Anolis sagrei: one gene and its partners. The protein of the gene in region 1 interacts with the protein of each later gene in a pairwise test. Links are inferred from orthologs where the notes say so. Each region holds a gene or a part of one and is shown on either strand. Other genes may lie near its edges.

Region 1 (3,751 bases):
GAATATATATATATATATAAAGAGCTCTAGGATATATAAAGTATAAAAGCCTGAGTGCTTTCCTTGCAAGGAAACCCTTCAACACACTGTATTCCCTTTCCTTAAAAAGAAACTATCAATATTACAATGTATTGTCGAAGGCTTTTATGGCTGGAATCACTGGGTTGTTGTAGGTTTTTTCGGGCTATATGGCCATGTTCTAGAAGCATTCTCTCCTGACATTTCGCCTGAGGATGCTTGCCATAGATGCAGGCAAAACGTCAGGAGAGAATGCCTCTAGAACAGTGGTTCTCAACCTGTGGGTCCCCAGGTGTTCTGGTGATTAGAAAATGAACAAAATCTGGCTATCATTATTAAAAAAAATTCTAAAATTAGAACAGTGCAACAACAGAGAGGAAACAAACAAGGACATCTAATCACCTCTCAACAAAGGATTGCTCCAGGTACTGCCAGACAATCAAATGCTAATCAAGGTGGTCAGTTGAAACATTCACACCTAGCTGCAGCAGAAAAAAGTCCTTTGTCCCACCCTGGTCATTCCACAGATATATAAACCCATTTTCCTACTTCCAACAGACCTCACTACCTCTGAGGATGTTTGCCATAGATACAGGCGAAACGTCAGGAGAAAATGCCTCTAGACCATGGCCATATAGCCCGAAAAAACCTACAACATCCAGTGATTCCGGCCATGAAAGCCTTCGACAATCCAAGGATCAACCCTATCTCTACAAAGAGGTGCAATCTTTAGTTAAACTGCAAGATTTTACAAGGGACTCTCTGCCCTCCAAGTAACTCCTTTGAGCTTGGAAGTAGCCCTGTGAAGAGTGGCTTAAAAAGCTGGACATATTTAGTTTGAAGAAGAGAAGAGTGAGAGGAGACATGTATAAATACATGAGAGGAATTCATAGGGAGGAGGGAACAAGCTTGTTTTCTGCTTCCCTGCAGACTAGGACGCGGAACAATGGCTTCAAACTACAAGAGAGGAAATTCCATCTTCTTCTTTTTTGTCGTGTCAGGAGCAACTTGAGAAACAGCAAGTCGCTTCTGGTGTGAGAGAATTGGTCGTCTGCAAGGACGTTACCCAGGAGACGCCCAGAGATTCCATCTGAACACGAGGAAGAACTTCCTGACTGTGAGAGCCGTTCAGCAGTGGAACTCTCTGCCCCAGAGTGTGGTGGAGGCTCCTTCTTTGGAAGCTTTTAAACAGAGGCTGAATGGCCATCTGTCAGGGGTGATTTGAATGCAATATTCCTGCTTCTTGGCAGGGGGTTGGACTGGATGGCCCATGAGGTCTCTTCCAACTCTTTGGTTCTATCTCCCAGAATATCAAGGGTGAAAATCCCACAATATCTGCTTTGATCTGGGTTATCCGAGTCCACACTTCAAAGCAGAAAATGTGGGATTTTATTCAGCTGTGTGGAAGGGGCCTGAATACAGCAAAAGCACCCCAAGTTGTGAAATACAGATTGGCTGCAAATATGATGCAGGTAACTCAATCCCTCCCAACCAGATCCAGAGCTATTCTTTCTCCTGGGTTTACTTTGCAGCAAAGGAGTTTGGCAACAACAAACCTGACCTTTCCCAACTGTATCTTAAAATAGGATTTTCCAAATTGGTCCCCAACATGCCACAGGCTGTCCTGCTATCAACCACAACCCTGTTCGGGCTGTTTGAGGTGCATCTACACTACAGATCCAGTCCAACCCCCTGCCAAGAAGCAGGAATATTGCATTGAAAGCATCCCTGACAGATAGCCATCTACTTAAAAACCTCCAAAGGAGCTTCCACCACACTCCAGGGCAGAGAGTTCCACTGCTGAACGGCTCTCACAGTCAGGAAGTTCTTCCTCATGTTCAGATGGAATCTCTGGGTGTCCCCTGGGTAACCTCCCTGCAGACAGCCAATTCTCTCACACCAGAAGCGACTTGCAGTTTCTCAAGTTGACTGACCCCGCATTAGTTGCTATCATAGAATCATAGAATCAAAGAGTTGGTAGAGACCTCATGGGCCATCCAGTCCAACCCCCTGCCAAGAAGCAGGAATATTGCATTCAAATCACCCCTGACAGATGGCCATCCAGCCTCTGTTTAAACACTTCCAAAGAAGGAGCCTCCACCACACTCCGGGGCAGAGAGTTCCACTGCTGAACGGCTCTCACAGTCAGGAAGTTCTTCCTCATGTTCAGATGGAATCTCCTCTCTTGTAGTTTGAAGCCATTGTTCCGCGTCCTAGTCTCCAAGGAAGCAGAAAACAAGCTTGCTCCCTCCTCCCTGTGGCTTCCTCTCACATATTTATACATGGCTATCATATCTCCTCTCAGCCTTCTCTTCTTCAGGCTAAACATGCCCAGTTCCCTAAGCCGCTCCTCATAGGGCTTGTTCTCCAGACCCTTGATCATTTTAGTCGCTATGTCAGCATTTGGAAGCCCCTTCCCATCTCCCCCTCCTGCACACTTACAGAGTTTTCTTCATCTTCCCCTTTTTCTCCTCTTTGCTCGGGCAGAGGCTGGCGTTTTTCTCCATCGTGCTGCAGTTGTGCTGGAGAGCCAGGAACATTGCACTCTGCATAATCCCCGCAAGGAAATCCAGCAAGCTTCCAAGGTTGGCGACCACGCTTTGAGCCTCCCCTCCGCCCGGCTGGTCCTTTTATAGAGGCGGAGGGCTGGGAGGGAGACGCCCACCTCCCTCCCCCGGATCGCTGATTGGCTGCGCCGAGGGAGGCCTCCCCAAACAAGGAGCGCGCGAGCCCCGCGTCCTCAGGAGAACAGCGTTGACGTAGGTGGCGCGCGCCTCTCTCCCTCTTGCCCTTTTTTTTTTGTCTTTTGAGTTGCTGTTTGTGGCAAAAAATAGACCTCACGAGGAGTCGCCTGCAAACTGGGGACATGACTGAGAATTAGAAATGTGCATGAATATATATATAATTTACATATATATGTGTGTGTTTATTTATATTTATATATTTATATATAAATGTGCATGCATTTATATATATAATTATTTTTATATAAATATTTATATATATATTTATATATAAATGTGCATGCATATCTCTATATAAATAAAAATGTAATTTTAATGTATTGTCGAAGGCTTTCATGGCCGGAATCACTCAGTTCTTGTGGGTTTTTTCGGACTATATGGCCATGTTCTAGAGGCATTTCTCCTGACGTTTCGCCTGCATCTATGGCAAGCTTCCTCAGAGGTGAGGTCTGCTGAAACTGGGGAAAAAAGGGTTTATATATCTGTGGAATGACCAGGGTGAGACAAAGGGCTTTTGTAAGTTGGGCTAGGTGTGGATCTTTCAACTGACCACCTTGATTAGCATACAATGGGCTGACTGTGCCTGGAGCAAACTCTTCTTGAAAGGTGATTAGATGTCCCTGCCTGTTTTTCTCTCTGCTGTTTTTGCTGTTGCAATTTTAGATTTTTTTTAATACTGGTAGCCAGATTTTGTTCATTTTCGTGGTTTCCTCCTTTCTGTTGAAATTGTCCACATGCTTGTGTATTTCAATGGCTTCTCTGTGTAGTCTGACATGGTGGTTGTTGGAGTGGTCCAGCATTTCTGTGTTCTCAAATAATATGCTGTGTCCAGGTTGGTTCACCAGGTGCTCTGCTATGGCTGACTTCTCTGGTTGAAGTAGTCTGCAGTGCCTTTCATGTTCCTTCATGCGTGTCTGGGCGATGCTGCGTTTGGTGGTCCCTATGTAGACTTGTCCACAGCTGCATGGTACACGGTAGACTCCTGCAGA
Region 2 (3,751 bases), on another chromosome or scaffold:
ATAAAGTAATAATAAAAGCTAGGAATAATATAAACATAACATAAAATCAAGTAGAAATGCACCCCCATTGGCCTTGGGTGAAACCTTTGGCCTGAAGCGGGCCATTCATTAACTTTGATACAGAGAAAGGAAACATTCAAAGTATTGCAATATATATAAAATATATTTCTAAATATATTAGATATATTCCTAAATATATTAAAAGTAATGCTATATATAGCAATAATTTAGGAATATTAAATACATTCCTAAATATGTTCTTAAGTATATCACTTATATTCCTAATTATATTAAAAGTATTGCTATATATATTAAATGTATTCCTCAATATATTAGATATATTCCTCTATATATATAGAGAGAGAGAGAGAGAGACTGTATATATATATATATATATATATATATATATATATATATATATATATTCCTAAATGCATTCCTATAAAAAGGTAAAGGTAGTCCCCTGACATTAAGTCCAGTCATGTCTGACTCTGGGGTGTGGTGCTCATCTCCATTTCTAAGCCGAAGAGCCAGCGTTGTCCGTAGACACCTCCAAGGTCATGTGGCTGGCATGACTGCATGGAGCGCCGTTACCTTCCCACCGGAGCGGTACCTATTGATCTACTCACATTTGCATGTTTTCGAACTGCTAGGTTGGCAGAAGCTAGGGCTGACAGCGGAAGCTCACGCCACTCCCCAGAATTGAACCTGCAACCTTTCAATCAACAAGCTCAGCAGCTCAGTGCTTTAACCCACTGCGCCACCGGGGGCTCCATTTCTATATATAATACATATTCCTAAATACATTCCTAAATGGGTCCCCTGATGGCACACCAGGTTAAACCGCTAAGCTGCTGAACTTGTTGAGTGAAAGGTTGGTGGTTCGAATCTGAGGAGTGGGGTGAGCTCCTGCTGTTAGGCCCAGCTTCCGCCAATCTAGCAGTTTGAAAATATGCAAATATGAGTAGTTCAATAGGTACAGCTTCTGCAGGAAGGTAATGGCACTCCATGCAGTCATGCCACCCACATAACCTTGGAGATGTCTATGGATAGCGCCGGCTCTTCGGCTTAGAAATGGAAATGATCACAACCTCCCAGAGTTGGACACGATTAGACTTAATGTCAGGGGAAACCTTTACTTTATATTCCTAAATATATTAGATACTAAATACCTTGAAAGTATTGCTGTATTATATATATATTCCTAAATATATTAGAAATATCCCTAAATATATAATATATATTTATACAATATATATTATATATTAAAAGTATTGCTATATATATATTAAATTTATTCCTAAACATATTCCTCAATATATTACATTCCTAGATACATTAAAAGTATTGATATATGTATATATGTGTGTGTGTGTGTATAATCTATTCCTAAATACCTTAAATATATTAAATCTATTCCTATATATATTACATATATTTATATTATATAATATATATTAAAAGTATTGCTACATATATTACACCTGTTTCTAAATCTATTCCTAAATTTGTTGTTGTTCATTCGTTCAGTCGTCTCCGACTCTTCTTGACCTCATGGACCATCCCACGCCAGAGCTTCCTGTCGGCCGTCACCACCCCCAGCTCCTTCAAGGTCAGCCCAGTCACTTCAAGGATGCCATCCATCCATCTTGCCCTTGGTCGGCCCCTCTTCCTTTTGCCTTCCACTTTCCCTAGCATCATTCCCTTCTCTAGGCTTTGCTGTCTCCTCATGATGTGGCCAAAGTACTTCAACTTTGCCTCTAGTATCCTTCCCTCCAATGAGCAGTCGGGCTTTATTTCCTGGAGGATGGACTGGTTGGATCTTCTTGCAGTCCAAGGCACTCTCAGGACTTTCCTCCAGCACCACAGTTCAAAAGCATCTATCTTCCTTCGTTCAGCCTTCCCTAAGGTCCAGCTCTCACATCCGTAGGTTACTACAGGGAATACCATGGCTTGGACTAGGCGGATCTTTGTTTCCAGTCTGATGTCTCTACTCTTTACTATTTTATCGAGACTGGACATTGCTCTCCTCCCAAGAAGTAAGCGTCTTCTGATTTCCTGGCCACAGTCTGCATCTGCAGTAATCTTTGCGCCTAGAAATACAAAGTCTATCACAGCCTCCACATTTTCTCCCTCTATTTTCCAGTTGTCAATCATTCTTGTTGCCATAATCTTGGTTTTTTTGACGTTTAGCTGCAACCCAGCTTTTGCGCTTTCTTCTTTCACCTTGATTAGAAGGCTCCTCAGCTCCTCCTCGCTTTCGGCCATCAGAGTGGTGTCATCTGCATATCTGAGGTTGTTAATGTTTCCTAAATACATCAGATATATTCCCCAATATAGTCAAACTATTTGAATATAATTTAAATCTATTCCTAATACTATTGCCCAATATATTAAATCTATTCCTAAACATATTAAGAGTATTGCTGCATGTATGTAACATATGTGTATATAACATATATTCCTACCGGAAGCCCAGGCTAGAAAAGGAAAAGGCCGCTCTGCCCCGAAGAGCCTCCAAAACCAGCTTCCGCGTAGCAGCCATTTTTTCCCTCTCCGAACCAGGAGGCGAAGGAGGGCACGCCCCTTTATTTAGGGGCGTGGCTTGGTCTCAAGAGGGGCGGGGCCGCGAGGCCTTGCTTTAGCAACAAACGTCATTCGGCCTTTCTTCCTCGAGGGGGCGCTCTTTCCCAGCCAGCCAATTACAATGGCCTTTATGGAGAGGGCGGGTCTTTGGGGGCCAAATGGCAGGCGAACGCACCAATCGGAACACTCATTACCCTTTCCCTTTAAGACAGACATCTAACACTTCGGGTTTCGTTTGAAAAGCCGAGGGGGAAAGAGTTGCTTTCCATTTTCCCGCCTCGCAAATGGCGCCTCGTTTTTCTATCGGCACCCGGAAGTATAACACATAAGCCATCTCGTAGGCACCTCTATGTCTCCTTAAAATAGGATTCCAAAAGAAAAGAATTGCCCGCTCCGCCTCTTCGGGGGCGTGGCCTATTTTCCCTCCACAACCAATAGCAAACGACGAGGAGAGGCAACCACTAGGCAGCGTTGGGCCTCAACCCCGCCTCCTGAGGGGGCGTGGCCAATGCCAACCAATCGGGAGCGGGAGAGACGAGGAGTGGCAGCTCCGGCTCCGGCGGCGGAGGTGAGGGCCGATTTCTTTTCCTTCGGGGGGGCTGTTCCCCCTTCCCTCCCCCCGCGCTTTCAGGGGGCTGTTCCGTATACCCCCCCGCACCCCTGATTTCCCCCCTTTCCTTCCGTTTTTACCCCAAAACATGAGGGAAACGGCTTTCGTAGGCCTCCCTTCCCCCTCATCTCCTCTTAAGATTGGAAAAAAGCCGTTTATGCCCCATAAGTGGCCTTTTTTGAATCAATCAATAGATAATCGATATTTATTATATCCTCGAAGGAAAAGAAACTCTTCCCTCCCCCCATTTTCCCTATAAAGCTTTCTTTGTTAATAAACCAAGCCAGAGTTTGGCTCCTCCCTCTTCCAATCCTCCCTAAAACTATTCCAATCGATCCACTGATTGATCCCTTGTCCTAACTCTTCAATACGAATCATAGGACAAGGGTCTCCCAATACAAAACACTTTTTCAGTCAGTTGATGAATCAGTCAATGGATGGACTGATCAATTGATTGATTGATGGATTGATCAATTAATCAGTTAATGGACGGATTGATCAATGATCCCATTCATTTCCCTCATAGGACAAGAAAGACACTTCTTTACCCCAAGT
Region 3 (3,751 bases), on another chromosome or scaffold:
AAACAGGGGCTTTTTTGTTGAGTTCCAGGGTCAGAGAAGCAGATGGTGAAGACTGAATAACGGCCTGCCTCAGGGGAGTGTGCTTGCTCCGTCAATGTTTAACATTTACACAAATGACCAGCCACTGCCAGACAGGACAGAAAGTTTCATCTATGCTGATGATCGTGCCATTACCGCTCAAGCAGGGAGCTTAGAAATGGTTGAACAGAAGCTCTCTGAATCTTTAAGAGCTCTTACTGCCTCTTACAGAGAAAACCAGCTGATTCCTAATTCATCTAAAATGCAGACATGTGCTTTTCTCCTTAAGAACAGACAAGCATCGCAAGCTCTGAAGATTACATTGGAAGGAATCATACAGGAGCATTACAGCACATCCAAATACCTGGGAGTCACTCTGGACTGTGCTCTGACTTATAAGAAGCACTGCTTGAATATCATGCAAAAAGTGGGTGCTAGAAACAACACCATGTGAAAGCTAATTGGCAGAACCTTGGGATCACAACCAGACACAGTGAAGACATCTGCCTTTGTGCTCTGCTACTCTGCTGCTGACTACACATGCCCAGTGTGGAACACCAGGCTATTTATTTATCGTGTCAGGAGCAGACCAAACAGTTGCATTGCATTTTTTAACAAATGAACAAACAAAAAAACAAACAAACAAACAAAACACAAAGTTTGCAAGCTTGGTGGTTGATTAAATGTCCTTTGACCAGTATCTGGCCACTTGGAGTGCCTCTGGTGTTGCCGCAAGAAGGTCCTCCATTGTGCATGTGGCAGGGCTCAGGCTGGTCAGCAGGTGGTCAGTGGTTTGCTCTTCTCTGCACTCGCATGTCATGGGTTCCACTTTGTAGCCCCATTTCTTAAGGTTGTCAATTGGTGACTGAGAGCGGATGAGGGAGTCCCCCCTGGGCACACAGAAGACTGGGCGACTTGGAAGGCGCTGAACAGACTGCGTTCTGGCACCACGAGATGCAGAGCCAACCTCAAGAAATGGAGGTACTAAGTGGAGTCCACGAGAAGGTGCATGTGGCAGGGCTCAGGCTGCATTGTTGTAAGTGGCCTGTGGTTTCTCCATATGTGCGAACGTGGAGAAGAAGAAAACACAGACCACTTCCTACACAACCTGGGGATCACAACCAGATACAGTGAAGACATCTGCCCTTGCGCTATGCTACTCTGCTGCTGAGTATGCATGCCCAGTGTGGAACACATCTCACCACACTAAAACAGTAGATGTGGCTCTTAATGAGACATGCCATATTATCACAGGGTGTCTGCGCCCTACACCACTGGAGAAATTACACTGCTTAGCCGGTATTGTACCACCTGACATCCGCCGGGAAGATGCAGCCAATAGTGAAAGTACCAAGGCAGAGACATCTCCAGCTCATCCCCTGTTTGGGTATCAGCCAGCATGTCAACGACTTAAATCTAGAAATAGTTTTCTTAGATCTACAGAGACACTTGCTGGAACACCTCAGCAAGCAAGAGTCCAAAAGTGGCAGGCTCAAACCCAGCACCTCAATCTGTGGGTGATACCAGATGAGAGACTCCTCCTTGGGCACACAGAAGACTGGGCGACTTGGAGGCGCTGAACAGACTGCGCTCTGGCACCACGAGATACAGAGCCAACCTCAAGAAATGGGGCCACAAAGTTTAATCCACGACATGCGAGTGTGGAGAGGAACAAACCACTGACCACCTGCTGCAATGCACCCTGAGCCCTGCCACATGCACAATGGAGGACCTTCTTGTGGCAACACCAGAGGCACTCCAAGGGGCCAGATACTGGTCAAAGGACATTTAATCAGCTACCAAGTTTGCAAAATTTGTGGGGTTTTTTGTTTGTTTTTTATCTGTTTGTTTGTTTTGTTCTGTTAGAAATGTAATACAATGTTCTTGTTGCGGATGACACAATAAATAAATAAATACTTCCTACACTGCAACCTGAGCCCTGCCACATGCACCTTCTCACAGCGACACCAGAGGCACTCCAAGTGGCCAGCTTCTGGTCAAAGCACGTTTAGTACAAGGCCAAGTTCTTAACTTTGTGGTTTGAAATACCTTACAACTGTATCCTCAATTCGCTCCTGACACGCTCAATACAGAAACGCCCTTCTTCCCTCCTCCTCCTTCCTTCCTTCCTTCCCAAGAAGTCCTTGCTCCCGGTTACCTTTCAGGAGGCCCGTCTCGGCGCCCACCCACACGTGGCTCCCCCAGGCAGGAGCCGCCATGACTGCCGCTTCCAGGCACCCGAGCGAGCCGGACGCTTGAGAGTGGCGCACTGCTACGCACCGACGCGCCACCTGATTGGCTGGCCGGCCTCTCCTGGGTGTCACACTCATATCCTTCCCCCGGGAGGCTATTAAGTGCCAAAACGACTTCCTGGAACCAATGCTTGTCTAAGGAGGACGATGTGGCCGGCGCTTTGACCCAGATGTGAGCTCTGGACTCCACTGTCAAGCTGGGGCCTTCAAGCAGGAGGCAAGGGCTGCGCCGACGCTGCACTTTGGCCCTCCCTCCCGCCCTCCCTCCACTGGCATGGCTCAAGGCCAAGGACTCTTAGGAGACCGAGTTCGAGGGGACTCCCAACACTCTCTCTCAAAGGCTTTGTTTTCTTTGCCGACTGTCCAAACGTGATCCAGTCTAAGGAGCAGGAAGGCAGGGAGCAGGCCTGTAGCGAGGGGGTGGTTTTAGGGGTTCAACCCCCCCCCGAAATGTTTCAGATTTTTTTAAAAACCTGGTTTACTCATGAATTTTAACTGGTTAACCAAAACTCCATGCTAAGTCTATGAGATGCAAAAAAATTAAGAGTCTCTCCAGAACTGCAAGCACTATCATCTCAAGCAAATATTGACAATTTATTCACACTGTCATTACTTGCAGGAATAGCCGATGTAGTGAAGCAACCAAGTTGGGTGTGTCTGTATTGAATGTGTCCAGAGGAGGGCGACTAAGAGGGTCTGGAGAACAAGCCCTATGAGGAGCGGCTTAGGGAACTGGGCATGTTTAGCCTGAAGAAGAGAAGGCTGAGAGGAGACATGATAGCCATGTATAAATATGTGAGAGGAAGCCACAGGGAGGAGGGAGCAAGCTTGTTTTCTGCTTCCCTGGAGACTAGGACGCGGAACAATGGCTTCAAACTACAAGAGAGAAGATTCCATCTGAACACAAGGAAGAACTTCCTGACTGTGAGAGCCGTTCAGCAGTGGAACTCTCTGCCCCGGAGTGTGGTGGAGGCTCCTTCTTTGGAAGCTTTTAAGCAGAGGCTGGATGGCCATCTGTCAGGGGTGATTTGAATGCAATATTCCTGCTTCTTGGCAGAATGGGGTTGGACTGGATGGCCCATGAGGTCTCTTCCAACTCTTTGATTCTATGATTCTATGAATGCTCCCATTAAGGAGGCCAGACTTGGTGGAGGTGGTTGACAGGGGCAGAGCTGCAGGCTATTGAAGGCTGCTCTCCCCCCTGCTGTGCTCTTTGCTTCAGTGTGAGCTAAGAGGCTGGTTTCAACCCCCCCCCCCCCCCGTGAAATTTTCAACCCCTCCCGAAAAAGTTTTCTGGCTACGGCCCTGGCAGGGAGGAAGGAGGGGGGAGGGAGAAGGGAGGAAGGAAGAGGTGGAAGGAAGGAAGGAAGGAAGGAAGGAAGGAGGAGGAGGGAGAAGGAGGGAAGAAGGAGAAGGAAAGAAGGAGGGGGAAGGGGAAGGAAGGAAGAGGTGGAAGAAGGAAGGAAGGAAGGAGGTTGGAG

Evidence for each region.
Region 2: the proteins of RGS2 (region 1) and NIPSNAP1 interact in a two-hybrid assay, tested with the Homo sapiens proteins (2 studies listed by BioGRID and IntAct). The link is inferred for Anolis sagrei from reciprocal best matches to the Homo sapiens genes RGS2 and NIPSNAP1.
Region 3: the proteins of RGS2 (region 1) and WDR74 interact in a two-hybrid assay, tested with the Homo sapiens proteins (2 studies listed by BioGRID and IntAct). The link is inferred for Anolis sagrei from reciprocal best matches to the Homo sapiens genes RGS2 and WDR74.

Annotation. Positions count from the first base shown.
Region 1 is NC_090024.1:116,337,762-116,341,512, forward strand, and holds the start of RGS2 (regulator of G-protein signaling 2), read right to left. Parts: upstream 2,641-3,751; 5' UTR 2,571-2,640; coding exon 2,461-2,570; intron 1-2,460. UniProt on the Homo sapiens protein: Regulates G protein-coupled receptor signaling cascades. Inhibits signal transduction by increasing the GTPase activity of G protein alpha subunits, thereby driving them into their inactive GDP-bound form.
Region 2 is NC_090034.1:48,743,467-48,747,217, forward strand, and holds the start of NIPSNAP1 (protein NipSnap homolog 1), read right to left. Parts: upstream 2,581-3,751; 5' UTR 2,546-2,580; coding exon 2,469-2,545; intron 1-2,468. Other genes in the region: NF2 (merlin), read left to right, coding at 3,095-3,154.
Region 3 is NC_090032.1:12,450,370-12,454,120, forward strand, and holds the start of WDR74 (WD repeat-containing protein 74), read right to left. Parts: upstream 2,285-3,751; 5' UTR 2,238-2,284; coding exon 2,177-2,237; intron 1-2,176. UniProt on the Homo sapiens protein: Regulatory protein of the MTREX-exosome complex involved in the synthesis of the 60S ribosomal subunit. Participates in an early cleavage of the pre-rRNA processing pathway in cooperation with NVL.